Linked DNA regions of Mus musculus. The protein of the gene in region 1 interacts with the protein of each later gene in a pairwise test. Links are inferred from orthologs where the notes say so. Each region holds a gene or a part of one and is shown in the gene's direction. Other genes may lie near its edges.

Evidence for each region.
Region 2: the proteins of Pom121 (region 1) and Lpxn interact in binary tests that used the Homo sapiens proteins (3 or more experiments, as listed by UniProt). The two-hybrid records come from large-scale screens. The link is inferred for Mus musculus from reciprocal best matches to the Homo sapiens genes POM121 and LPXN.
Region 3: the proteins of Pom121 (region 1) and Homer3 interact in binary tests that used the Homo sapiens proteins (3 or more experiments, as listed by UniProt). The two-hybrid records come from large-scale screens. The link is inferred for Mus musculus from reciprocal best matches to the Homo sapiens genes POM121 and HOMER3.
Region 4: the proteins of Pom121 (region 1) and Nfkbia interact in binary tests that used the Homo sapiens proteins (3 or more experiments, as listed by UniProt). The two-hybrid records come from large-scale screens. The link is inferred for Mus musculus from reciprocal best matches to the Homo sapiens genes POM121 and NFKBIA.
Region 5: the proteins of Pom121 (region 1) and Cep76 interact in binary tests that used the Homo sapiens proteins (3 or more experiments, as listed by UniProt). The two-hybrid records come from large-scale screens. The link is inferred for Mus musculus from reciprocal best matches to the Homo sapiens genes POM121 and CEP76.
Region 6: the proteins of Pom121 (region 1) and Golga2 interact in binary tests that used the Homo sapiens proteins (3 or more experiments, as listed by UniProt). The two-hybrid records come from large-scale screens. The link is inferred for Mus musculus from reciprocal best matches to the Homo sapiens genes POM121 and GOLGA2.
Region 7: the proteins of Pom121 (region 1) and Atxn1 interact in binary tests that used the Homo sapiens proteins (3 or more experiments, as listed by UniProt). The link is inferred for Mus musculus from reciprocal best matches to the Homo sapiens genes POM121 and ATXN1.

What each region holds. Positions count from the first base shown.
Region 1 is NC_000071.6:135,384,508-135,388,078, reverse strand, and holds part of Pom121 (nuclear envelope pore membrane protein POM 121), read left to right. Parts: intron 1-1,083; coding exon 1,084-1,255; intron 1,256-3,134; coding exon 3,135-3,226; intron 3,227-3,571. UniProt on the Homo sapiens protein: Essential component of the nuclear pore complex (NPC). The repeat-containing domain may be involved in anchoring components of the pore complex to the pore membrane. When overexpressed in cells induces the formation of cytoplasmic annulate lamellae (AL).
Region 2 is NC_000085.6:12,822,508-12,826,078, forward strand, and holds part of Lpxn (leupaxin), read left to right. Parts: intron 1-1,436; coding exon 1,437-1,604; intron 1,605-2,291; coding exon 2,292-2,465; intron 2,466-2,582; coding exon 2,583-2,664; intron 2,665-3,571. UniProt on the Homo sapiens protein: Transcriptional coactivator for androgen receptor (AR) and serum response factor (SRF). Contributes to the regulation of cell adhesion, spreading and cell migration and acts as a negative regulator in integrin-mediated cell adhesion events.
Region 3 is NC_000074.6:70,289,435-70,293,005, forward strand, and holds part of Homer3 (homer protein homolog 3), read left to right. Parts: coding exon 1-67; intron 68-617; coding exon 618-739; intron 740-1,572; coding exon 1,573-1,729; intron 1,730-1,883; coding exon 1,884-1,994; intron 1,995-2,082; coding exon 2,083-2,169; coding exon of another isoform or gene 2,170-2,190; intron 2,191-3,431; exon of another isoform or gene 3,432-3,540; coding exon 3,541-3,571. UniProt on the Homo sapiens protein: Postsynaptic density scaffolding protein. Binds and cross-links cytoplasmic regions of GRM1, GRM5, ITPR1, DNM3, RYR1, RYR2, SHANK1 and SHANK3.
Region 4 is NC_000078.6:55,489,846-55,494,206, reverse strand, and holds the start of Nfkbia (NF-kappa-B inhibitor alpha), read left to right. Parts: upstream 1-1,559; 5' UTR 1,560-1,680; coding exon 1,681-1,907; intron 1,908-2,428; coding exon 2,429-2,537; intron 2,538-2,876; coding exon 2,877-3,087; intron 3,088-3,347; coding exon 3,348-3,436; intron 3,437-3,540; coding exon 3,541-3,801; intron 3,802-4,237; coding exon 4,238-4,285; 3' UTR 4,286-4,361. UniProt on the Homo sapiens protein: Inhibits the activity of dimeric NF-kappa-B/REL complexes by trapping REL (RELA/p65 and NFKB1/p50) dimers in the cytoplasm by masking their nuclear localization signals.
Region 5 is NC_000084.6:67,638,556-67,642,687, reverse strand, and holds the start of Cep76 (centrosomal protein of 76 kDa), read left to right. Parts: upstream 1-1,332; 5' UTR 1,333-1,513; coding exon 1,514-1,576; intron 1,577-2,524; coding exon 2,525-2,680; intron 2,681-4,132. Other genes in the region: Psmg2 (proteasome assembly chaperone 2), read right to left, coding at 953-1,009. UniProt on the Homo sapiens protein: Centrosomal protein involved in regulation of centriole duplication. Required to limit centriole duplication to once per cell cycle by preventing centriole reduplication.
Region 6 is NC_000068.7:32,305,268-32,308,426, forward strand, and holds the end of Golga2 (golgin subfamily A member 2), read left to right. Parts: coding exon 1-28; intron 29-207; coding exon 208-426; intron 427-505; coding exon 506-608; intron 609-709; coding exon 710-816; intron 817-892; coding exon 893-1,049; intron 1,050-1,138; coding exon 1,139-1,353; 3' UTR 1,354-2,646; downstream 2,647-3,159. UniProt on the Homo sapiens protein: Peripheral membrane component of the cis-Golgi stack that acts as a membrane skeleton that maintains the structure of the Golgi apparatus, and as a vesicle thether that facilitates vesicle fusion to the Golgi membrane.
Region 7 is NC_000079.6:45,962,138-45,966,316, reverse strand, and holds the start of Atxn1 (ataxin-1), read left to right. Parts: upstream 1-1,325; 5' UTR 1,326-1,502; intron 1,503-1,691; exon of another isoform or gene 1,692-1,712; intron 1,713-1,932; exon of another isoform or gene 1,933-2,743; intron 2,744-2,879; exon of another isoform or gene 2,880-2,988; intron 2,989-4,179. UniProt on the Homo sapiens protein: Chromatin-binding factor that repress Notch signaling in the absence of Notch intracellular domain by acting as a CBF1 corepressor. Binds to the HEY promoter and might assist, along with NCOR2, RBPJ-mediated repression. Binds RNA in vitro.

The sequences.
Region 1 (3,571 bases):
CATTAGTTGACTGAAGCCAGGATAGCTCCTAAAAAGATCTTGATTGGTCCTGGGCCCGTTCATATTCTCATCTTCTATTCATCTAAACTATGAGGTGGGACGAATAAGCAAGTGCGATTTTACAGATGCGTATGAGCAGTCAGCTTGTTTTAAAGGTGTATTATAGATGACAGGTGTAAGCTCTTGTGGTCAGGTTGTTAAGAGCAACAAACTGGTAATTTTCCAGGTATTCTGTTCCAAGTAGTAAGTGAAGTGATGCTTAGATATGGGCCGTAAGCAGTGCTTTAAGTAAACCACTAACTAAAGCAGTCAGCCAGTGTCTCGTGCTTGCTCTGTCTCACTCTGCTTCACTAACATGGTGCAGTTGACCCTTCACAAATGGACCACAGGCTTCTGCAGGGCAGGAAGTGTTGATATGGAGTGTATGAGAGGAAGTTTGCATAGAAGGTGCATAAGTTCCAGTGTGGTAAAAAGGCTCTGTCAAGCCTTGCACTCAGCTCACTGTGTTGCACCGTGGGAGACATGCATACACAGTGTGGACTGCTGAGGTAGGAAAGCCTGACAGGGGCTGGCTTTGGAGGCTCCAGCCTAGAGGAGGCACAGGCATCTGGGAGCGAGCCAAGATGATGGTGTGCTAGTGGAAGGAGGGGAACATTGGCTGCCTCTGCTGCAGTTGTCAGCGAACTGGTTTGTGGTTGATGCACTTGCCTGGGAAATGGTAAGAGGACCATACTGTAGTAGGGCTAGGTAACACACATTGACAGAAAGGATTATGGGAGATTTCTCTTTCAGTTAGAGGCTTAATGATTTTTCTCTTAGCAGCTTTATTGAGGGATCATTGACAGACATTACGTTTTTGTCCCCATGACACCACAGTCAAGGTGTAACCCTTCCTGTTGTGTTTCCCGTGCTGTGCTTTTACCCAGTCACTTTGTCAGACATAGGCAGCCATGTCATCTGCTGACAGTGGCCTTGAGGAACATTGTGGTGGTCTTTCAGGTTTATTCAGAAAGGTGAGGCACCATGGTGGAAATAGCAGAATACGCCTGCAGTAGCGCATGTACACTTCTTCCTTTCTCTTAGGCCTGGCTCCCTGAAGAGAAGTCTGGCTTCCCAGAGCTCAGATGACCACTTGAACAAACGGTCTCGCACCTCCTCTGTGAGCTCCCTGGCTAGTGCGTGCACAGGAGGCATCCCCAGTTCTAGCCGCAATGCCATCACCAGCTCCTACAGCTCCACCCGTGGCATCTCACAGGTATGTCTCAGGGCCGGGAGCAGAGGATGCAGCTCACCCTCTGTTGCTTTGCACTGAACCTGTCTCTAGGCTAACTGGAATACAAAGCAAATTAACGAGATCAGTGGGACTGAACAGAAAGCAAACCTGGTCCAGATGGAGCAACCTGCAGATGGACCAGTGCAGTAAATGGTACTGATTTAGAAAGGTTTTGTTCCCTTTGGAATGTAAAGGAGATTTATTTCTTTATTTTAAACTTTCTTTTTTTTTTTTTATTACGTATTTTCCTCAATTACATTTCCAATGCTAGCCCAAAAGTCCCCCATTCCCCCCCCCCTCCCCTACCCACCCAATCCCACTTTTTGGCCCTGGCGTTCCTCTGTACTGGGGCATATAAAGTTTGCGTGTCCAATGGGCCTCTCTTTCCAGTAATGACCAACTAGGCCATCTTTTGATATATATGTAGCTAGAGACAAGAGCTCCGGGGTACTGGTTAGTTCATAATGTTGTTGCACCTGCAGGGTTGCAGATCTCTTTAGCTCCTTGGGTACTTTCTCTAGCTCCTCCATTGGGGGCCCTGTGATCCATCCAATAGCTGACTGTGAGCATCCACTTATGTGTTTGCTAGGCCCCGGCCTAGACTCACAAGAGACAGCTATATCAGGGTCCTTTCAGCAAACGCTTGCTAGTGTATGCAATGGTGTATAAAGGAGATTTATAGGCAAGTAGGATTTAGTGTAAGCTTTGATTCATGAAGTAGATGTCATTCTTGTTTAGAGTTCGTTAGAGCCCATAGGTGGGGAAGCCAGGCAGCTCCACTGTCAGGCACACTTGGGCTCCAGTATTGGTATTGACACTAGGAGGTGCACAGGCTCCTGCAGGTAGATCAGTCGCCCTTGGTGTTTGCTTTTGCCTTTTGAGACAAGGTCTCATGTATCCCTGGCTATTGTGCATGCAGCTCAGGCTGGGTTTTAACTAGTAGTGATCCTCCTGCCTCAGCCTCCAAGCACTAGGTGTTCAGCTTGCACCACCATGCCCAGTTTGTATCTAATACTCATATTCATGGAATATCAGAATCTGTAAAAATAGAGGCTGTACTTTTTACTATAGATGATTTTTGTTAGAATATGTAATGAATACAAGAATTACCTCTTTATTTCTTTTTTAAGATATTTATTATTTTTATGTATATGAGTACACTGCAGCTGTCAGACACCCCAGAAAAGGGCATCTGATCCCATTATAGATGGTTGTGAGCCACCATGTGGTTGCTGGGAATTGAACTCAGGACCTCTGGAAGAGCAGCCAGTGCTCTTAACTGCTGAGCCATCTCTCCAGTCCTTTTATTTCTTTTTTTAAGATTTATTATTTTGCAGTATGTGGTGGAATACTCTAACAAGACCAGCCTGGCCTACATAGTAAATTGCAGCCAGGGCTATGCAGTAAGATATGGTCTTAAAAAAAGAAAAGAAAGATATTTTTATTTATTTGAGCCTGTGTGAGGCCAGAAAGCATCCATCATCCTAGGAACAGGGTTACAGTATTTGTGAGCAGTCTGGTGTGGATGCTGGGAACCAAACATGGGTCTTCTTCAAGAGCAGCAAGTGTTTCTTAACCACTGAGCCATCTCTCCAGTCTCTCAGAAAGGTTTAGTTTTGCTGTGTTTCTTGATTTTTTTTTTTCTTTTAGTTTTTTGAGACAGTCTCTCAGTAACCCTGGCTGTTCTGGAGCTCACTATGTAGAGCAGGCTGGCCTTGAACTCACAGAAATCTATCCACCTCTGCCTCCTTAGTGCTGGGATTAAAGGTGTGTGCCTTCCTGCCTGGCCAGGTCAGAATATCTGCCTACATAGCCATATTGTCAGTAGTAGTTTCAGATTGTCTCTCTGCTTGACTTGCAGCTGTGGAAGAGGAGTGGTCCCACATCTTCTCCCTTCTCCAGTCCAGCTTCCTCCCGCTCCCAGACACCAGAGAGGCCAGCCAAGAAGACAAGGTGATGACCGGTCCCTTCTGGTCACTTTGTGTGGACAGGGGCAGCGGGTTTAACAAGGATTAGCTGTTGGGCTGCTTTATCTGACTCAGCAAATCAGAGTCAAACCATACAAGAGCAGCAAAGTGCCTGCTAGAGTTGTGTCCTTGTCCTACAGTGTGAGCAACTGATGGTTGGGGTCCCTTCTCTGTCTCATACTCCAGTGGGAGTGGTGCAGAGGCCACTGGGAGTGGAGTGCAGAGTGGACCGGGTCAGCAGGGAGCCTGAGTCCCTGGCCCCAGCTCACCCTTCACTGGAGCTCGGCTCCCTCGGGGATCAGGTCTGTCTGTGTCTGGCCTCACCTGCCAC
Region 2 (3,571 bases), on another chromosome or scaffold:
GTCCATCCATTTGGCTAGGAATTTCATAAATTCATTCTTTTTAATAGCTGAGTAGTACTCCATTGTGTAGATGTACCACATTTTCTGTATCCATTCCTCTGTTGAGGGGCATCTAGGTTCTTTCCAGCTTCTGGCTATTATAAATAAGGCTGCTATGAACATAGTGGAGCATGTGTCCTTCTTACCTGTTGGGGCATCTTCTGGATATATGCCCAGGAGAGGTATTGCTGGATCCTCCGGTAGTACTATGTCCAGTTTTCTGAGGAACCGCCAGACTGATTTCCAGAGTGGTTGTACAAGCCTGCACTCCCACCAACAATGGAGGAGTGTTCCTCTTTCTCCACATCCTCGCCAGCATCTGCTGTCACCTGAATTTTTGATCTTAGCCATTCTGACTGGTGTGAGGTGGAATCTCAGGGTTGTTTTGATTTGCATTTCCCTGATGATTAAGGATGTTGAACATTTTTTCAAGTGCTTCTCTGCCATTCGGTATTCCTCAGGTGAGAATTCTTTGTTCAGTTCTGAGCCCCATTTTTTAATGCTACCCTCTCTCTTAACTGGCCTTAAATACCTCACAAATCGTTGCAAAGTATTCCTCCACATTCGCTTTCCTTAGTCTCAGATTAGCTGCATGCCAGCCACAGTCCCCCCTTGTTAGATGAGTCAAACGTCTTCCATAAAGGACCTAGACAATCCTCACTTCCCTCCATACAGTCTTCTGTGTGTTCAGTCCTAGTCCTTCTGCTCTGGCTCTGTTCCTCTTGTAACTTTTCTTTTAATATGCCAGATGGTTTGATTCTTTGGGCCTTTTCTCTCTGTGGAATGACAATCTCACTAATGCCAGTATGTCTGGATTCTTGAGTACATATGCTCAAGTCTGCTCTAGTACTCTTCCTCAGAGGCCACTGCCCGAGTCAGTTGGCACTTATCACACTACATCCAGCACATCAACCTCATAACCTACATCTTTTCTTTATCTGACATGCATCACGTTTATTGCCTGCCATTCATAGATGAAAATTCCATGAGTTAGAAACTCAGTATTTCTACATATTGCTTTATAGTAAGTTCTTAGAATGCTGAGTGGAACAAATTAGGTGTTTGGCAATAAATAAATAAATAAATAAAATAGTTTTTACCCGGGCCACTGTAAGAGCCACCAAGACTAATCTTCATACACTCAATTTTTTTTTTGGCAGCCAGAAGATTTACAAATAAATGACAAATCAGGTATCATTTTGGTCAAGGAATTTGAAATAAAGTAGAAATAAAAGTGTTTTTATTCATGTTCATGTTGGGTGTCTCCAGCACCTTGAAGGAAGGTTAGGGGAAAGCAAGATCTGTCATTGGACGTGAACTGATAGGTTGTATAGCGGATGTCAAAAAGTAAGGTGAACGTGGGGTGATTTCTCTTTGTGGTTCTTTCCTTGTCCCAGGTTTCAGTGAAAGCAGACACCAGCAGGAAACCCTTGCCAGACCAGCAGGATCACAAGGCATCTCTGGACTCAATGCTGGGGGACTTGGAACAGGAACTACAAGATCTTGGGATTGCCACAGTCCCCAAGGGCTACTGTGCTTCCTGCCAGAAGCCAATTGCTGGGAAGGTGGGGTGATCTAGGATGTCAGGCCAATAGCTTCTGTGTTTGTGGGTGTCCAAGGATGGCTCTTTCTATTTATATTATAAGATGCTGGAGTACTTGTTATCAGTCACTGACTGCTTACAGTAATATGAACTAAGTGTTTTGTAAATATTTCTGCATTTAATACTTGAATCAACCCAATAAGGAGGTTTTATTAGAGTACCATTTGCACAAGCAATGAAGCCAAGAGCTCAGTGACACTGACTGGCAAGACCAAGGTCTAGTAAGTAAGAAGCAAGGGGGACACTTGAGTCCAGGACAGTCTAGCTTCCGAGTTTGAATTCCTAATCACTTTTGTTCACTGCCACTACTGAGATTACCTTTTATGCTGTTCCCTTTCTTCAGACATTCTTGGATTTATATGTAATCCATGCAATTTCAGCTAAATGTAACTTTAAGTTAGAGATACTGGGACTTACTCTGAATCATTATCACCAAAACCATGATACAGGGCTTTCTGATCTGACTCCAGAAGGATGAGAAACAAGGAGCTCAGATCTGAGGAGTAGAATCTGCTTGGCTTCTTGATCAGTCTGGTTATTTTACTTGTATATAACCCAGAGGTGTGGTCTATATGAAATGCAGCATGCAGAGTGCCCCCTAGGGGTACATTCTGCTGCACTGCCATGTCAGGCTTTATGATGTTCCTAGGTGATCCATGCTCTGGGGCAATCCTGGCACCCAGAGCACTTTGTCTGCACTCACTGCAAGGAGGAGCTCGGCTCCAGTCCCTTCTTTGAGCGGAGTGGCCTGGCCTACTGCTCAAAAGACTACCACCGCCTGTTCTCTCCACGCTGTGCCTACTGTGCTGCTCCCATCACAGATGTAAGTAAAGCCCCACCCTGACAGCTTTCATGCACTGTCTGACCGTGTATGCAGAGCCCTGGGCATGCTTTACAACTCTAAAGTCTTCTAATACCTCTCTGTGTTTCCTGTTCTCAGAAAGTGCTGACAGCAATGAACAAGACATGGCACCCAGAGCACTTCTTCTGCTCTCACTGTGGAGAGGTATTTGGTGCAGAAGGTAGGAGAGGGCTACAGCCAAGTGCAAGGGAGGGAGATGGGAAGGCCTACAGCACTATTCCTTGGGGACTGCTGTCTGCTGAGTTTTGGTTCTCAGCACTGTCACAAGTCCATTTCACACCTAGATGCCATCTCTGTATCTTTCTCCAACATTACTAAGTTTTATTTATATTGATTTTTTTAAATTAAAGAAGTGAAAATTCATCATTTAAAAACAGACTGTGACTTCATTAGATAACTTGGTAGGTGAAGCATTTGCTGCACCAATATGAAGAAGGCCTGAGTCTAAATCCCTAGGACATGCTTAGGAGCTAGGCCTGGAGCACACGCCTGTGACAGCAGGTGTTCACCAGGGATGTGAGGGCTGGAGAATCCCTGGAAGCCTGAAGGCCAGCCAGCCTCATGCACACTCTGCAACCAAGAGAGTGTCTCAAGCATGGAAAGAGAGGACTGCCACCCAAGGTTGTCATGACCCATATACATGTACACTGTACTCACACAAACATGCACCCACCCCATCCCCCACACAATGTGTCCATATCACTTAAATACATGAAACCATTGTTTCCCCTTGGAGTCAGCATTTGAGTTTCTTTCCTTTAGCTTAGTTTTCGCTATCCTTACCACTAATTTACCTGATAGAATTGTGAGATCCTTTTCTTTTCTATTTTTTTCTTTTTCCAATTTTTTATTAGGTATTTTCTTCATTTACATTTCAAATGCTATCCCAAAAGCCCCCTATATTCCACCCTCCCTGCTCCCCTACTCATCCACTCCCACTTCTTGGCCATGGTGTTCCCCTGAACTGGGGCATATAAAGTGTGCAAGACCAAGGGGCCTCTCTTCCCAATGATGGCCGACTACGCTATCTTCTGCTACATATGCAGCTAGAGACACGAGCTCTGGGG
Region 3 (3,571 bases), on another chromosome or scaffold:
GGCTCGAGAGAAATCTCAAGATGGTGGAGAATTCACTAGTACTGGCCTGGCCCTTGCCTCCCATCAGGTAGGTGTTCCTGCACCCCATGTCTTACAGTACCCCATGACTACCACACCCCTGAGGCAGCCATATATGCTTCTGATATCAGGGGCCATGCACTGTATTAGTGTCTAAGGATGGCTGGTGGCCTAACCACATTTATGCACGTGTGCACACATGTGCGTGTGCCTGGGTGCACATGTGGAGCTCTGAGGATAACTTGTGGGCGTCAGTTCTCTTCTTTCAGCGGGGCATCAGGCTTGGTGACTAGCCCTTCCGCTGGCCCATGCCTCAATTTTACCTGAGGGAGAGCAGTTCCAAGTGTTCAGATCCCTGTTTCTGTAGGCTGTTCTGATTTGGCCCTGAGGGACACCAGGCAGGTGGGGGACAGGATTCCCTATCCAGAGGTTCTGGGGAGATATGGAGCACCAGTGAGGAAAGAGACACACTGGTCATCGGGGGTCAGTTCAGACTCCCTGACCTCAATACCCCAGTGGCTTCAATCAACTTTACTTCCTACCATGACCTTGACTGAAGCAAATGCCCACCGTGACCCAGTCCTGGCTCCCATGCACAGGTTCCTCCAAGCCCCTTGGTCAGCACCAATGGTCCAGGCGAGGAAAAGCTGTTCCGTAGCCAGAGTGCGGACACCCCTGGCCCCACCGAGCGGGAACGGTTGAAGAAGATGCTGTCAGAAGGGTGAGTGGTGTAGTTGGTGGAGCCTGCATGAAGCCAGATGGGCATGGCAGGGGCCTAAGGGGTGTCTTGTGTTCAGACTGAACTTTCGGGTGGTTTCTAGTGTCAGGGTCTTTTGTTTTGTTTTGTTTTTTGTTTTTTCGAGACAGGGTTTCTCTGTGTAGCTCTGGCTGTCCTGGAACTCACTCTGTAGCCCAGGCTGGCCTCGAACTCAGAAATTCGCCTGCCTCTGCCTCCCAAGTGCTGGGATTAAAGGCATGCGCCACCACTGCCCAGCAAGTGTCAGGGTCTTGATTGTCACTAAAGGAGTGTGATAGGGTAGGACATCCCCAGGATAGACCATTAGGATGGTTTTTCTGGGGTCAGGGTCCTGCAAGAGGTAAGGGACGTGGGCAGTAGGATGGGCGTGGTCATCGAGGTGAGACCTGTGGGGGATGTAGGAAACTACAGACCTGGGAGAGGTTCCTGCCTCTTCTGGAAAGGAGGCTGCACTTTCCTCATCATTCATACCCCCATCTCTTTTGACCATGGGCCTGACCCCTCTCCCCACCCCCCATTGCTTTCATGGCAATCTGGAGGGCAGGGATAGGCTTCCAAATATTTTTGGAGGTAGGGTCCTGTTATATATCCCAGAACTCATTATACATAGCCTAGGCTGACATTGTTCCTAAGGGGATTCTCCTGTCTCGGCCTCTGATGAGCCACAACTCCACATGTGGTTTCATGGTCCCACTCCCTGGCTTAGTGTTGCTTTGGCCCTGCTTAGTCCAGGATAGCCTCCTCCAGATGCCACTGTCCTGACCATGCACACCCCCAGCCCGGTGTCTTCCCTCCAGCTCTGTAGGGGAGGTCCAGTGGGAGGCAGAGTTCTTCGCGCTTCAGGACAGCAACCAGAGGTTGGCGGGAGCCCTTCGGGAGGCCAACGCAGCGGCCACTCAGTGGAGGCAACAACTGGAGGTCCAACGTGCAGAGGCTGAACTCTTGAGGCAGCGGGTGAGGACCCCTCACCCCACATCCCTTCTACCCATCAGTCCCCAGCAGGCCATTTCTTGCTGTAAAATGATTTGAAACTGTGAGAGCTTCATAGGGGTCATCAGGCCCTTCATGTCCCAGAGGATGGTAGGACCACTGGGTTGCATGTGTGCAGGTAGCAGAGCTGGAGGCCCAGGTGGCTGTAGAGCCAGTCCGGGCAGGAGAGAAAGAAGCAACCAGCCAGTCGGTGGAGCAGCTGGAGGCTCGGGTGCAGACCAAGGACCAGGTGAGCCAGGGGCAAGCTTAGGGATCGTGTCGTACTCTCCTCGGGAATCCAGGGCCTCTGAGGACACCTGGGACACCTTCTTCTCCAGGAGATCCAGACTTTGAAGAATCAGAGCACTGGCACCCGAGAGGCTCCAGACACTGCCGAGCGCGAAGAGACACAGCAGCAAGTTCAGGTTGGCTGCAGGACCTCAGCTGTAAGAGTGACCCCCTGGGGTAGAACAGGTCCCATCTGCCTGCGAGTGGAATAGGGCTGTCTACTTAAAGTTGCTAAGCAACCTCATACTTAGTCTTCCCACATCTGAGCAGTCTAAGGTCCCAGGGAAACTTCCAGAGACCTCAGCCAAGAGTATCTGGAGCATCTCCAGGAATGTCCTGGGGAGATGACCCTGTTGTCTTCGAGGGCGGGAGCAGATTGTGCAAAGGCCCAGGACCCCAGAATCATTGGCCCTCCTGGTCACAGGACTGTATTCCCAGGGAGAGAATCTACAGGAAGCCTGTTCTATGCATTTATATGTCACCCAGGTACCACCTATCATGGGTTTTTGTGTATAGTGTATGTGCATACATACATCCCATGTGGGTACAGATGCGCATGCATGTGTATGGAAGCTGGAGCTGCTGTCTTCCTCAGTTTCTTTGCACACCATCCTTTGAGACTATCTTACTACCAGAATGGCTGGGTGCTGAGTCAATCAACAGTGGGACCCTGCTCTCCCACCCTGAGGTTACAGCTGCTGGCAGTGGCTGTGGGCATTAGATTATGTGTGGGTGAAAGGCAACTGAAATTCAGGGCCCTCAGGTAACCATCTCTTTAGTTCCACTGCCCACTTCATTAAAAGTGCTTGGCTCCAGAGCATGCTATTAAGCATTCTTCCCTCCTTCTATCATGTGGGTACTGGGGATTAAACCTTCATCTTGGGGTTTTTGTTTTTCATACTGACTGTGTCTCTAGCAGCAGCTTCCCGAGTGCTGGGTTAAAGGCCTGTGAGACATGCAGTGCATGTAGCTTTAAGATTTAGTTACATGTGTGGTATTGTACACCAGTGCTTGGAAGTGAACTCAGGTCTTCTGGAGAAGTTCATACTCTTACCCACTGACCCATCTCTACAGTCCATCTTGTTTTTAGAAACAGGGTCTCTAGCCAGGCAGTGGCAGTGCATGCCCTTAATCCCTGCACTTAGGTGGCAGAGGCAGGATTTCTGAGTTTGAAGCCAGCCTGGTCTACAGAGTGAGTTCCAGGGCTACACAAAGAAACCCTATCTCCAAAAAAAAAAAATCAAAAAAAAAATAAAAGAATAGGAAGAAACAGTGTCTCTTACTGGCCTGGGGATGCTTAGGTTGTCCAGTATGCTCTAGGAATCCTGCCTGTCTTCCCAGCAGTGGGATTACAAATGCTTGCCAGCCATGCTTTGTATGTAGCTATTGGATTCCAAACTCAGTACTTCACACTTTAATGGCACTTTACTGACCCGGTGAGAGCCATGGGCCACATCAGCCATAACTGGCAACCAGAGCTTCCACCCCACCCCGTCTTCCCCGTGTAGGACCTGGAGACCCGGAATGCAGAGCTGGAGC
Region 4 (4,361 bases), on another chromosome or scaffold:
ACCACCCCACCAGCACAGATCCAATCTTATTATTATAAAAGCAAGTATACCATAAAAAAAAAAGGTTAAGTGACTTCTCCAACTAATGTATTTAATGAAAGGCAGAGCGTGGAATTGAGATGTCCTGCTCATGATCAATCTCACTATGTCCCACTCAATTACACTTGCAGATCCAACTTGCCACTGAGAGGAAAAGGAGAATTCGCTGAGGAAGTTTTAACTTTAACCTGGCCCTTACTGTCTGGAGGCTTTTTGGTTTTTCCTGGATTTTGAATCTTTTCCCTCAGTGTCTTCACATGCATACTCAGGGGGAGGCGCTGGAATTCCAAAGAGAGGAAAGCTGACATAAGGCTCATTAAGAAAAAGATCATTCACATCTCACCAGAAATCTATGCAGAACTAGAGAGGCCTCCTGGATCTGGTCTGACAAACTCTGATCCACGTTGCTTTAATTTTCCCTAAGTAGGGGTGGGGTGGAAGTAACATTTGTACTTTTGCCGGTTAAACTAGAGGCTCACAGGCCCAAATCCCTTTCTTGGGGGAGCAGCTACCCATAATGCCGCGGTCCCTTGGGAGCAAGGAAGCTGATAGAAGCAGCAGGTTTCAGATGGGGTCTGTGTTAGGACTATCTTGAGCCTCCTGCAGGATACCTCACAGTTACTTTTTTAGCTATGTTTGAGAGGCCAGCCTTGGCTAGGGCACTAAGTCAATTGCTCTGCTAGGCATTCACAATAAGCTCCGGCTTCATTCTCTGCAACAAGTTAACTCCGACAGCAAGAACGCAACAGTTGCGGTTGCAAGGAAACTACAACTTCTACTAAGATTAACAGCTTGCATTACTTGGGGAAAAATGTGGTTCCCATACGGAGCTAGGATTTGCCCCTCCCCCGGGGGGGGGGGCAAGATTATTGACCCCTAGGAAATAATCTAGGGGTTCTCCAAGCTCTTGGTTTTTGTTGGTGGTGGTGGTGGTTTTGTTTGTTTTAATGCCAAAGTTTTTACAGCTTCATGGAGTAGGAGTGAAGGACAGCCAAATGTCCCTGCATTGCAAAGGGCCTGGAACAGACAAAACACAGCCGGCCCCGGAACCACTCATATGTCCGTCGTCGCAGAAATTTAGGAGAAGCGAATCCCTGCACCTAGCCAGCGTTTCCACTCTTGGGTTTTCAAAAAGATCAAAAACCGGAAAAGACCTGCAAACTGGCAAATCGCTAAGAGGAACAGCCTAGCAGGTCTGCGTCCTTGGAAGCTGCGCAGCTTGGGACCCCAAACCAAAATCGCCCGGTGGGAAACCCCAGGGAAAGAAGGGTTCTTGCAGAGGGCTGGGGTTACTGAGTGCAGGCTGCAGGGAAGTACCTAGAGGGAGGGGGCCTGGTCGGGAGGACTTTCCAGCCACTCAGGGCTCATCAAAAAGTTCCCTGTGCATGACCCCAGTGGCTCATCGCAGGGAGTTTCTCCGATGAACCCCGGCCCTGGGTTTAGGCTTCTCAGTGGAGGACGAGCCAGTTCTTTTTCTAGTCTGACTGGCTTGGAAATTCCCCGCGCCTGACCCCGCCCCTGAGAAATCCCCTGCCAGCGTTTATAGGGCGCCGCGGCGGCGCTGCCGAGCCCACAACAGTCAGACCTCGCCAGCCAGCCGCCAGCAGCCTGCAGCCTGCACCCGCTCAGCCCCGCACAGCCATGTTTCAGCCAGCTGGGCACGGCCAGGACTGGGCCATGGAGGGCCCGCGGGATGGCCTCAAGAAGGAGCGCTTGGTGGACGATCGCCACGACAGCGGCCTGGACTCCATGAAGGACGAGGAGTACGAGCAAATGGTGAAGGAGCTGCGGGAGATCCGCCTGCAGCCGCAGGAGGCGCCGCTGGCCGCCGAGCCCTGGAAGCAGCAGCTCACGGAGGACGGAGACTCGTAAGTGGCGCCGGGCACCGGTGGGGGTCGCGCGGGGCCTGCAGCGCGCTCGGGGTTCTGCACGGCGAGGGCGCCGGGGTTGCGGGGCGCCGGGGCTGCGGCGGGCCGCCTGTCTTCCCCCCTCCCCCTCCTCCCCTGTCCCCGGACCCGGAGTCGCCGAGCGCAGGCCGGGGGGGGCGGGGCGGCAGCGGCGGCGAGGACGCAAAGTCCCGGCCTGGCAGCGGTGGCGCGCAGCCGCCGGGCGCCGCGCGGCCGCGAGGGGAAGTACAGGGCGTTCCGGGCGGCGGAGGGCGGGCCGGTCTGGCCGGCGCCCGCCCGGAGGGGGTGGGGCACGGAAAGTCCCTGGGCGGCTGCCAGGAACACTCAGCTCATAATAACCTCGCGGAAAACACCGCGGCCGCGGCCTCCAGAAACCCCGGCCTTGCGCAATCCCCCCTCCAACCCCACCTCCAGCCCGCGCCTCCCCCCCCCCCACGCAGTGTGCTCACCACCCCTCGGGGGGTTTCCCTGTCATCCCTCAGGTTCCTGCACTTGGCAATCATCCACGAAGAGAAGCCGCTGACCATGGAAGTCATTGGTCAGGTGAAGGGAGACCTGGCCTTCCTCAACTTCCAGAACAACCTGCAGCAGGTGCGCTGCTTGCTTGCCCCGCGGGTGCCCTCTTTGACCCCTTGGTGGAGTCAGATGTAGCACGGTCGCCCCCAAAGCGTTTCTAAATTAATAGTCACTTAGTTCTTATCTGCCTTGGCCTTTTGCATTCAAATCAGCCAACGTCTTAGAACCAGAAGAAAAATCCCTTGGGTTTAGTGAGGTCTTTATGACCCACCTAGGGCCTCCTGTTTGCCTGATCTCCTAAGAGACAAATGGGAGGATCAGATTCCATAGCGGGAGGTGTCTGGGGTTCAGGAAACTCAAGACTATGGGTTTGCTCCATGGCTTATCCCTTTCTGTTTCCTCTTCCATTTGTAGACTCCACTCCACTTGGCTGTGATCACCAACCAGCCAGGAATTGCTGAGGCACTTCTGAAAGCTGGCTGTGATCCTGAGCTCCGAGACTTTCGAGGAAATACCCCTCTACATCTTGCCTGTGAGCAGGGCTGCCTGGCCAGTGTAGCAGTCTTGACGCAGACCTGCACACCCCAGCATCTCCACTCCGTCCTGCAGGCCACCAACTACAATGGTAGGTCTGCCAGTCCATCCAAGGATGCAGAGGAGGGAGAGAGATGGGGCCACTTGAGTCTTAAACTCCGAACGTATACAAAGTTCAGACACTGTGATCTTTTTAAAAAGTTTTCTCCTCGATGCCTATATGATATTCACTCAGAACCCAGATTCTGAGTTCTTCAAAACTGATGATGTTTGTGGTTGTCCTCAAGACAATAGACATGAGTTGTGTGAGGATTGAAACACGTAGTTACAGTTTTTGTCTTCCTCCTCCAGGCCACACGTGTCTGCACCTAGCCTCTATCCACGGCTACCTGGCCATCGTGGAGCACTTGGTGACTTTGGGTGCTGATGTCAACGCTCAGGTGAGTACATCTCCCTTCCACCTAATCTCTGTTGGGCTGGCTCTGATGGTGAGCAGGTTTCCAGATGCAGCCGTAAACTAACGCCTGATTGCTTTTGGTTTCAGGAGCCCTGCAATGGCCGGACAGCCCTCCACCTTGCGGTGGACCTGCAGAATCCTGACCTGGTTTCGCTCTTGTTGAAATGTGGGGCTGATGTCAACAGGGTAACCTACCAAGGCTACTCCCCCTACCAGCTTACCTGGGGCCGCCCAAGTACCCGGATACAGCAGCAGCTGGGCCAGCTGACCCTGGAAAATCTCCAGATGCTACCCGAGAGCGAGGATGAGGAGAGCTATGACACGGAGTCAGAATTCACAGAGGATGAGGTGAGTGTTCCTCCCCTCAGCACGCTGACGGCTGTTCTAGGGCTGCTTTGGATCAGAGGGATTTCAGTTGTTTAACTTCTCAGACTCGGCTTGCAAAGCCAGGATCCCAAGAATTTGTCTCTGGTTTGTTTTAAGAGCTTACCCTTTTGGGTTGAGGAATGAGGGAATTCTAGAAATTGAACCCAGGCCTTAGCACATGGTGATAAGCACACGTTCAACCATTAAGCTCCACCCCCTCAATAGCTTAGACTTTTTTTTTTTTTAAGGAAAGAATAGGTAAGGGAAACTCCTACAGCCTGGTGCCCTTGTTCTATTTGGGTTAAGGAGAAAAAGAGCCCAAGAATAGGAGTTATTTCAGCAGCAGCTCTCCCCTTATCCCAATGTCTTGGTGAAGTTCTAGGAATTTAATATGTCTTTTTCCCCTCTCTTGTTTTAGCTGCCCTATGATGACTGTGTGTTTGGAGGCCAGCGTCTGACATTATAAGTGGAAAGTGGCAAAAAGAATGTGGACTTGTATATTTGTACAAATAGAGTTTTATTTTTCTAAAAAAAAAAAAAAA
Region 5 (4,132 bases), on another chromosome or scaffold:
AATATGCACCTCTGTTTTAGATAGATTTTTTTTTTTAAAGAATCCTAAGCCCATCTTTTTGGTCACTAATTTTCCTAAAAGATCAAAAGCCCTTGTGTTTTTCCTGTCAACTTTTTAAAATTTCAAAACGCTTTGAAATGATGTGTCTATCTCGTGAGTACATGCAAACGTGAGTGCAAATACCTTCGTTGGCCAGAAGGGGGTGTCAGGGAGCCCTGGAACTGGTTATAAGCCATTGTGAGCCTCTAAGAATTCCATCCTCTGTAAGCCAGACAGGCTTGACTACTGAGCCATTTTCTTTAGCCCCTTCCCCTAAAGTTTTGTTGTTCTTGTTGATTTGCTTATTTATTGGGACGGGTCTCCTTCTGGCTGGCCTGGAGCTGCCTTTCCAGCCTGCCTTGCAATCGGAGTGCTGGGAATACAGGCTTGGTCAAACCACTCCCAGCCTTCCTCAGGTCCATGATCTCAAGTCTTTCTCTTTTTCATCTCCTGTCTTATTTATTGCTCTTACTGATCTACTGATGTTCCTAGCTACATTGTAAACTTTGATGACCAGCACGTCCGGATGACTTAACAAGGATCATTCCACAACTGCCTGTTAGGCTGTGATCAGCTCTCTAACGCAATTGATGGTCTAGATCAATACGGACCCTAACTACATAAAAACATTTCCACGGATAAAGCTTAGGGATTCCCCGGTGCGACTTACAATGCAATATATCTGCAATCTACAAACGCTACAGGTCGCAGGCAACGAAAGTCTCAGCTAGCAGACAGGCCTTGATAGGGCTGACAAAGATGCTAATCGGACAGCCGCTTCTAGGGATAACTTCCAGGTTTGTTTGTTTGCAAGCTAAAAGCTTGAAGCAGAAACATGTGCCCGGCTCTCCTAAGGCCAGGTGGCGCTTCCCGGGTCGGGGTGGCGATCGCGTCAACTCAAGTAGAGACTCACCATCAGGAGTGTAAAGTTCGTTAGGTCGGGGACCGACTCCCCGCAGGGAACGAACATGACTGCAGTGGGCGTGGGAGCAGCTTGAGCGCCCGCCGGGATAGCGAGGCCACCTCCTTGGGACAGAAGGCGCAACTCGCGATCGTCCGGGGTCCTTCGGGTCCTTCGGGTCCTGCAGGCGTCCAGCGCGCTGCCTGCGCGCAGGGCAGAACGAGGCTGGAGCGCGCGGCGGGTAGCGCTCCCCGGGGGGCGTAGGTCGAGGACTGGCGACGGAGGACGTGGGGACCGCGCGCGCGGGATCCGCGAGGACGAGGAGGCGGAGCGGTGGACGGCGTCGATCAGGCGGCTCACAGGCCAGCCCCGGCGTCTGTCAGTCCCGCACCGTTTGAAGACAGTTAAGTTAGTTGGGGCGCCGCGGCTGCCGGATTCCCGCCCTGCCAGGTCTGACGCGGCCGCGGCGCTTTGTGCTCCGCCCGCCGCTGATGCTGCGCGCCCGGGACGACGGGCTCCGCCGCTGCACCGTGTGAGGTGGGCGACTAGCGGCCGCGAGGCGCCAGCGCCGGCATGTCGCTGCCTCCGGAGAAAGCCTCGGAGCTGAAGCAGCTCATCCACCAGCAGCTGAGCAAGGTGAGGACCTCGGGCGGACCGGTCCCCGCAACCGGAGCTGCGGAGCGGGCGCGGGCGGGCGGGCGGGCCGGCAAGCTTCGGTCGGGTGTGAGAGCCGAGGGAGCCGCTGTGAACCGGAGGCGGTCCCGGCGCTTTCCAGATGTCCACGTACAAGTTAGCCCGAGGCCAGATGTTTAGGGTCCCTTTACACCAGGAAGGCCGATGGCAGTAAGAAGTTATGGGAGACGGGGCGCTCAAATGACTGACAAGGAACGCGTTTACCCCACTCGGGGCTTCCAGGAGTCTTCCCTTCTGTCCTCGACTGCCGGCTGTAAGCTGAAGTAATAAAGCCTCTTTATGGTGGTGGTGGTGCGCCAGGGCTTGTGGCCAGAGTCTCTAGCTTCTTTGGTCGAAACCTCAAAACGGTCTCGTTTTTCCTTCGCACGGGCAAGGAAATAGACGGACAAATTAGAGTTCCAAGTTGAATAAGCGAGAAAGCTGAAATAACTCGCTCTTTGTTCTGCCTCCTTCCAGGTCTGCGTTCTTTTGATTATCCTCCATTCCCTCCCAAAAGAATTGCTTCCATTGACTTATTTGCGGGCAACCAGCAATAACGGTTGATAACCAACCAGTTCAGATTGCTTCTTATGTTGCTCAAAAGTTTCACCTCTTAAAAGGCTCAATTTTTATTGGCACTGGGTATTTGCCATTAGTTTTAGAAGCCTAAAACTCTACAAGTGGTATTTATCTACTTTATAATGTTATAAGTTGCTTTCCTGTTTTTGTTTTGTTTTGTTTTTTGGGGGGGTTGTTTGTTTGTTTTTGAGACAGTGTCTCTTTGTTTAGTTTGTCTGGCTGGCCTGGAACTCAAGAGATCCTCAGGTCTCTGACTCCTGGGTGCTAGGAATAAAATTACACCACCACCACCAGGCGTAATTTTGTAAATCTTAATGTGTGGTTTCTCCATAGATGGATGTCCATGGCAGAATAAGAGAAATTCTTGCAGAGACTATACGAGAAGAATTAGCACCGGATCAACAACATTTATCAACAGAAGATCTGATCAAAGCTCTAAGACGTCGAGGAATCATTGATGATGTAATGAAAGAACTTAATTTTGTGACTGTGAGTAGCAGTTTACAACATAAGGTCCACACTCGTGGCTTCTCTTAGAACTACCATAAGTTCACTCTGTCTAGTAATAGCCATTTTTCCTAGTTTTTAAGAAGAATTTATATGTATGGCTGTTTTGCCTACATGTAGGTCTGGTGCTCACAGTGTTCGGGGACAGCTGTGATCCTCTGGAACTGGAATGAGCCACCAGCACGATGCTGGTGGGGGGAATTGATCTCAGGTCCTCTGGAAGAGCAAGTGCTCCAAACTGCTGAGTCATCACTGCTGCCCCTGTAATGTTCTTCCCTCTGTCGCTGCTTGTGTTTCCAGACTGGGTTTCTATGAGTAGCTCTGGTTGGCCTGAAACTCATTTTATAGACCAAGGTCTTAAATTCACAGAGATTGCCTGTTGTCTGCCTCCTGAGTGCTGGGACTAAGGGCATTTGTGTTCATTGTCACCGCCTGGCTCCTTTTCTGAGAGGTTCTAAGTTGGCCCCACCGTGAGTTGGCAAATAGAGAGTTCATGAGATAGGAGTTGTTGGACACTGTATTTCTTTCGCTGACGTGACAGAAACTTACGCTATGCTATAGCTCTCTAATTCATTTAGGTTAGGTTTGTTTTAAAACAAATACACTCACAAGATTCCATCAGAAAAGCTCTGGCTGCATAAAGCCCTCATTTCTCTGTACAAATAGGTCAGTAATGGGATATATCCCGGTGCATTTTGTAAGTAGGCCTTATTTTGAAAATGAGGCAATAATGAAAAACTGTGGCCTCAATACAAGAGTCATATTCTACTAAAAATAGGATGGACTTCATAATACGCTAGAGAATCGGGTATGTTAATACACTAGCCTCTTTTGGGTTTTGAGGTTTGCAAACCTATTTGTTATAAAAACTGACCCATTAACAGCCTCTGCTTCATAAATGTTACTTTTTAAAACTCAGTTCGTGGTGGGCTAGAGAGAGAGAGTTCAGAGGTTAGGAACACTGACTGCTCTCCCAGAGGTCCTGAGTTCAATTCCCAGCAACCCATATGGTGGCTCACAACCATCTGTAATGGGATCCGATGCCCTCTTCTGGTGTGTCTGAAGGGAGCGACAGCAGTACTGCATAACACTGGCTGTCTTAGAACTGTGTGCCAAGGCTGGCCTTAAACTCACAGACCGCCTGCCTCTGCCTCCCAAGGGCTGGAAGCAAAGGAGTGCGCCACTCTGATTAACCAACTACTGTACAGGGCTTAAAGCAAGTGTAGCTTATTTAAGGTATCAGTTTGTTTTTTAAAGCCAGGCTTGGCAGCTCATGCCATTTCTTCCAGCATTCAGGAGGCAGAGAGAGGCAGAGCTCTCTGAGTTCAAGGCCAGCCTGGTCTACATGTGTTTAGCATTTAGTGGATGGCAAGGCTTAAAGACAGTTTAATCCCTTCATATTAGACTTTTCCCAGTTAGATCTCTTTGGCTAAG
Region 6 (3,159 bases), on another chromosome or scaffold:
AGAAGACCTAGACAGTAGAGAGGCCATGGTGAGCTGGGCTCTGTCTTGCCCCTTCTCTTTTCTACCTCTGTGGTCCTCGGTTTCCTACCCTCTGACTTCTTTTGATTGCCACTTTGTGCCTGGAAGCCAGTGGTCAGTCTCCCTCTCTGCCCTGCCCCCTTTGTCCTGAGCATTTCCCTGAAAGGCACACCTCCCTCTTGTGTGCAGGTGGCATTCTTTAATGCCGCTATAGCCAGAGCAGAGGAAGAACAGGCCCGACTACGTGTGCAGCTGAAAGAGCAGAAGGCACGTTGCCGGAGTTTGTCTCACTTGGCAGCCCCAGTCCAAAGCAAGCTTGAAAAGGAGGCAGTGGTCCCCAGGAATGTGGATGACTCTGCATCTGAGGAGAGCAATCAGGCCCTACATGTAGCCATGGAGAAGCTGCAGGTGAGTTTGTCTGTGGGGGCTGGGAGTGTGGGGGCCAGCCAGGGCTCCTGAGTCCCTGAGACCTCTGTCTTGGCTCCAGAGCCGCTTCCTGGAGGTCATGCAGGAGAAAGTGGAGCTCAAGGAGAGGGTAGAGGAGCTTGAACATTGCTGCATTCAGCTTTCTGGAGAGACAGACACCATTGGTGAGGTGGAGCCCAGCCCAAGGCAGTGGGGGCTGTGCAGGGGGGTAGACTGGGGGAGCCACAGTGTCTGAGCCTTGTCCACCTGCCTGCCGTCTCCACAGGAGAGTACATTGCCCTTTACCAAAATCAGAGGGCGGTGCTGAAGGCTCGGCATTTGGAGAAGGAAGAATACATCAGCCGGCTGGCTCAGGACAAGGAGGAGATGAAGGTAGGCCTACACTTCTGTAGTCCAGGCCCTGCCTAATCTGGGCTGGGCCCTTCAAGTTGAGCTCCTTTTTCTCCAGGTGAAGCTGCTGGAGCTCCAGGAGCTGGTGTTGAGGCTTGTGAACGAGCGCAATGAATGGCAGGGCAAGTTCCTGGCCGTCTCTCAGAACCCTGGTGACGTGCTCACCCCAGTGCCCACAGGCTCCCAGGAATTTGGTGCTGCTGACCAGCAGGATGGTGAGTAGAGCTGTTGTCTCTTGGGAAGGCACAAAGGGGAGGAGTCCCATGGCGTGCAGAGCCATGACCCCCTCCCCCTTTCTCTAAAGACCTCAGGGAGGTGAGCCTGGCTGACGATATAGAGCCTGCACAAGGAGAGGCAGGGGTACCTGCTCCCCATGAGAACCCTACTGCACAGCAGATCATGCAGCTGCTGCGTGAGATCCAGAACCCCCGGGAGCGGCCAGGCCTGGGTAGCAACCCTTGCATCCCCTTTTTCTACCGTGCCGATGAGAACGACGAGGTGAAGATCATGGTTGTATAAAAGACTGGCGGCCAAAGCCTCAGCAAGGGCAGCCAGAGGTTCTGCCCCAACCCACACCCTTCCTCAGCCACCCTTATCTTTATAATAATAATAAGGTCAGACTCCATCCCCTCCAGGGGCTGGGGAAGTAGCTCAGTTGGTAGAGTGCTTGCCTGCTGTGCACACAGCCTTGGGTCCCCAGTACCTCTGAAAAGGCTGATACCTGTAATTTGAGTGCTTGGGAAGTGGAGGTGGAAGAATCAGCCATCCTCATCTACCTAGTGAGTTTGAGGCCACACTGGGCTACATGCGACCCTGTCTGAAAAAACCAAAAGATCAGGCTCCTATCTTAATGGGGGACACAGACTGGTACAGATCTGCCTCTTAGCCAGGGCAGTTTTACTTTGTAAATTCCTGTTACAGAAAGAACGCCAGAGACTCAGTGATGGAGCAGACTGTGCTGGGTGGCCTGGGGGCTTTCTCACCAAGGAGGGCCTCAGGCCTTACTCAGGACTCTGGGGCAGAACAGAGTGGCAGCATTCTCGTGCCCAGGTGCAGTGCAGGCTGGTAAACTGGCCTAGCATTCAGCAGGGCTTCTAAGTTTTCACCGGCTCAGTCCTCCCTATCCTCCTTTTCCTCCCCGCCCCCATTTTATCTTCATTTTCTTTACGGAGTGTCTCCTGTAGCCCGAGCTGAGCCCCTGCCTCACCGCTGTGCCTGGTGGTTGGCAGTGCTAAGCAGGCACTCTACCAAGTGATTTACCCCCAGCACTCCCTGCCTTTTTCCTTTGTGTGGTGATGCTGGGGATGGAACCCAGGGCACAGCAGGTCCCCAGATCAACTCCCATCTTCTCAGAGGCACTTTAGGGCAGTGGGGCTGGGCAGCACTTCATGGGTCCTCAGGCAGTTGGGGCTAACTGCCTCAGGAAGGCATCCCACTTTGGAGGGCTTCCATCTTTTTGAGGCACTTTGGGACAGGGAAAGTGGGTACCATTCTCTCAGGCCTTATGACAATTGGGGTAACTACGCCAAGCAGGACAGAGGCTGCTGGGGCAGGGTGGCCTTCCCCTCCCCCGGTGTACATATTGTACCTGTGTACTATTTTGTATATACCGGGGTAGGGACACCCCTGTATCATAGTGGAGGTTGGAGCTGGCAAATGGGAAGAGCTTCTAATAATCACTTTGGGCTGGGAACCTTATTTATTGGTAGTGTTAGGTCAGAGGGCAGGAGGCGGAGACAAGGTTGTGGCACCTGCTGATGCAGCTCCTCTTTATTTTGCTTTTTACTTGGGAAATAAATGGATTTAGCCATACTGCTGGGCCTAGGGTGTTCGTCATTGGTTCTGGGGTTAGCCTCAGGCTGGCACTGAGCAGGGAATGTGTCCTGCCTGGAGAGAGCAGGCTTCTGGCCTGTATGGAGCCCAAGGTCTGAAGTGCCTGGCAGGGCTGATTGACACCTATCACCTATACACTGCCTATTGAAGCCTAGGGACCCCAGGGGGAGTACCATGGGGCTACAGGGACAGAGCTTCCTTACTGAGTAAGAGAGTCAAGCCTGACATATAGTATACATAGGTGGGACTCGGGGTGCAGCAACTAAGGGCGCTGACTTCCAGGCCAGGCCTCTTACATTCCGACCCTTCCCCTTAGTCTGTCCACACTAGAGACCTGTTTTGTTCTTTAGGCTGTTCACAGCATCCTGGCTGAGCTCATGATACTGCCCCCTAGTGGTGTAAGCAGGATTCGTAGGATGAGGACCTGCTAAACTCACAAGCACCCTAGCAAGGGCCTTTCCTCACCCTCCATTCAGTGCCCAGTTTACACCG
Region 7 (4,179 bases), on another chromosome or scaffold:
TAGTGGCTTCCAGCGAGACCAAGGGATCGAGTTTCCAGACTCTCAGTTCTAAGCACCTGAAAGAGGTCAGATGCTGGCCTGACACCTACTGGTCTTCAAGAATTTTCTGCTGCAAAGAGAACGCGGCACTGAGCGACCCTCGTGGGGATGTGATGGCTCTTCTTTCGGGTGCCACACCTGTTGGCAAGGTGAACGCCTCCAGAGAAGAGTTCTTCCCTCGAGCTTACGCTTGGCTGAGGTGTAGCCGGAGGGGGCCGGGTGGGGAGTCCACGTCTGCGTTTAGCCACCGGGACAAGGTGGGTGGGGGAGCGTTCCTTCGCTTGGTTTCCCCGAGAACCACCATCGACTGACTGCTCAGTGCACAGGTTACCTCGCTTGCGATGAAATGAATGATCCACAGTTAGCCCTGAGGAGTGAGTGAGGTCGGTTACCAGGGCTAGCTAGAGCTGAGGCGTTCCATGCCCACAGCAGATTTCGAGACCAGCAGAATTTGAAAGGAGGACCGGGAGGTCGCCAGCTTGTCCAGGCAGGAAAGGTGAGGGTGCCAGTGCAAGCTGGGGAAGCCTGAGAACTTTCCCGAGTTGCAAGCCAAGGCAGCAGGCGCGGGCCTTGCCTCGGATGACGCAGGGCTGGCGGGTTGGAGGGTTAACAGTAAGGATACAATGAGTCCTCTTTAGATGCTCACCCGGGGGGCACCAAGGGCACTTCGTAATTAGAAATCAGCCGACTTCCCCGCCCCCTTGGGTATTTTACCAAGTAGGAGCCAAATCCTGACACCCGTCGCTGCGAGTCTCCCAGGTTGCCTGAGTTGCACCCTGCACTCACCCTGTCCCCCTCCAACTAGGTTGCAGGGAGCCGGGGAGGCGCGCGAGCACCGATCGGTCACCACTCCAATGACCTCATCGCCCCAACTTCCCCGCCCCTTTCTCAAACCTGGAAGGCACAGTCCCCTCCGGTCGGTGTCGGGGATCCGGAGCCACAGTTGCGGAGAGACAACCCGGCCTCCCCTGGAGCGAGCGCCGCTCCAGCCCGGGTGCATAGAAGGGTTAAGGGCGCGGGCCGGCAGCCGCGCCGTGCGCTCGCCGTGCTCTGTGCGGCTCGCCGGGCCGCCTGCCAGAGGGTGCCTCCCCCCCCCCTCCCCCCCCATGAAGTCGGATCCTTGAGCTGCGGCGGCGGCAGCCAACTGCTCCATATTTGGCTTCTATTACACATTTACATACTGGAGCGAGCGAGCGAGCGCGAGAGAGAGCGCGAGGGAGGGAGGGCGGGCGGAGGGAGGAGGGAGGGGAGGGGGGAGGAGGAGGAGGAGGAGGAGAGAGCAGAGTATACCGCAGACATCATTTCTACTACAGTGGAGGAGCCGTACAGGACCTGTTTCACTGCAGGGGGATCCAAAACAAGCCCTGTGGAGCCGCAGCTAGAGCTACAGCAGCCGCAGGACACTGTGTCTCTCCCTCTGTTACCCCTTCCCCACGCAACCCCAGATCCATTTACACTTTACAGTAAGTGGCTATTTTTTTTCCTCCTCTGATTCTTTCTCTCCCCCTCCCCCTTCCACCCCGATTTAGATTAAAATCACCCCCTCCCGCACCCCAATCTGCTCTCTCCGGAGAGGGGCCAAAGAACATCCAGCATACACCCCCCCTCCCCCAGTCTCAATGGGCTGCACGGAAAACAGCTGGAAGAGGAGCGAAGGAAACCGACGCGTCGTGGTGTGTGTGTGTGTGTGTGTGTGTGTGTGTGTGCAGGCGCGCGCGCGAGTGTATGTGTGACTGTGTGTACATACACTAGTGCCCGGCTCCAGCCTCCCGGCTCGGGACCCCCTCTGGGAGCAGGAGCGGCTAGCAAGGGCAGCAGATAGGGGCTGGGTGGGCGGCCGCCAGGAGAGGGGGCGCGCCCGGGCGGGGGGCGCGGGTGGGGAGAACGGCGGCGCCCCGTTTCGGCTGCTGCCGGTCCGGCGGCGGCGAGCGGATAGAGCCCGGTCCTCCTCCTTCCGTGTGGCGCAGGGGGAGGCGGCAGCCGCGGAGGGTCGCGCTGCCCTCTTCGCTCCTCTCCAGTCCCCCCTCCCGGGTGGGGGCGGTGAGCGCTGCGGGGGCTCGAGGGAGGGCTGGGCTTCCCCGCCCGGGGTCGCCTAGCTTGACAGAGGCAACCCCGAGCTTGGGGTCTCCCCGCCTAGGCCAGCCTCTCGGGGCTACGAGGGGACCAAGAGGGGACTTTGCGTGAGGCTAGGGGCGCGGAGAGGTGGCGCCTCAGGAGGCAAGGGCGCGCGGGCCATCGCAGCGCAGCGGGAGAAGACCGGCCCTAGCTGCAGCTGCCACCGCCGCCCTGTTGGTGCGGCCGCTTCCTGATCCAGAGCAGCAGCAGCAGACGCCGCCGCCACCGCCGGAGCTGGAGCCGGGAGCCCGCGAGCGCCCCAGCCCGGCCCGGCGACTCTGCCGGCGCCCGCAGCAGTAGCGGAGGAGCTGCGGGCGCTGCCCTGCGCCGGGACTGCTCTGCTGCGCGGCGGCAGAGAGGGTGAATGAAGACGGGAGGAGGGGAAGGAGGAGGTGGCGGCGGAGGAGGCGCTGCGGGGATTGGGATGTGCCCCGGAGCCCCGCGGCTCGTTCACTCGGGGCCCGAGTCGCCGCCACTGCCACTGCCAGGGCTGCCGCCGCCACCGCCGCCGCCTCCTACGTGGTTGCAGCCGAGCGCGCAGGCCGGTCCCGCAGGGGGCAGGGAAGGGGCCGGACGGGCGGAGCGAGAGGTGAGGCGGGGTCGGAGAGGAGGGAGTAAGTGCGTGTGAGTGTGTAGGTGCGTGTGTGCGTGTGTTCGCGCGCCGGGCGGGGACCAGGACCATCGCGATGGGGAGCGGGGAGTGGGGGTGGGGGTCCACGGTGGTCCCTTGGTTGACTCTGCAGCGCTTCGACCTCTCTTGAGCCGCCTCCTTCAACTCTGTGGCTTGTGCGCTTTCATTTTATTTCAGACCACGTAGAGAGCTGACTGCAAGAGGTGAAACAATTCAGGTTTTCTAGGGAGATTGAGCAAGGACCTTAGTGGTGGGGGGTGGAAGTAGGGTGCTGTATCTAGACTCTGCCAGGGGCGCGGGGGGTGGGGTGGGGGGAGGATCAGGGGTAAGAGGATGGGGTTTAGTTCGATCCCGTGGCTGTCCTGTTTTGTTTTGCTTTCTTGCTGTATAATCCTACAGATAAGAGGGCAATATAAATACTTGGGGAAGGTTGGGAAATTGCTGAAGAGTAGTAAGGGCGGAAAAAAAAAAAAAGAAGCCAGTCGGAAGCTGGTTATATAATGCGCTATGTGGCTAACAAGAAAGGCAAGCTATTTTTATTTTGTTTACCGTATGTTGTGCAGTAGGAACTCCTCCAAACTGGTTCTGTCCCCGAAGAGGTTTCTTAGTTTGTCAGAGAGAGAGCCACAGGATACAATTAGTAAAATTAGAAGACCCCACACCACCTACAGAATAAAAAGTAATGCTTTAGAGTTCTCACCTCACATTCTGCCTGGTATGCAGGGGAATGTGTGTATGCCCTATGTTTCCCTGTAGCAACCTAGTAGTGTCATCTCAGTGACATTTCTGTTTTATAATGCGAGCTCTTCTTAATATTTAAACAGCACTGCTATAGATCGTAGGCAACAAGGTAGTTACATGCTGGGTATTTTTAGGCGCAGCTGGTTACTTTTTTGCAATAGTGTTTGCTAAACCGTGTCCAGCTTTATGAAGAGCCCTGCCATTCCTAGAAGCCTGGGTTAAGCCTACCCTCTGGTTTACTGATGGTGGGTGGGTAGCTAAGACAGTTTGATAGCCGAGGGTTTTTATTTTTATTTTATTTTTGAATGAAGCTTATGCCAGGGGAAGCTAGAGGTAGCCACCAGAGAGAAGAAAAAACATGCGCAAGAACTCTTGGAAAGGGATTGCACCATAACAGCTTAGCTGTGGCATTTAATCTCCTCTGATTGTCCTCTAACTGGCCACGCATCAGTCAATATTTTAGCAGCTTTGCAAATAAATTGGCTTGAACGCCACCTTCCACATAAAGCTGAGGCTGAGAAGCCTCCTGCCTGTCTGCCTCTCTCATCATAGATACTGTCTGTGGTGTTAGTTTTCTGTACACTTACTCCAGCCCTGATCACTCATGTAATTAGATCAGGTTGCCATGGCTACAGACAGTGTTCCTTGGCCCA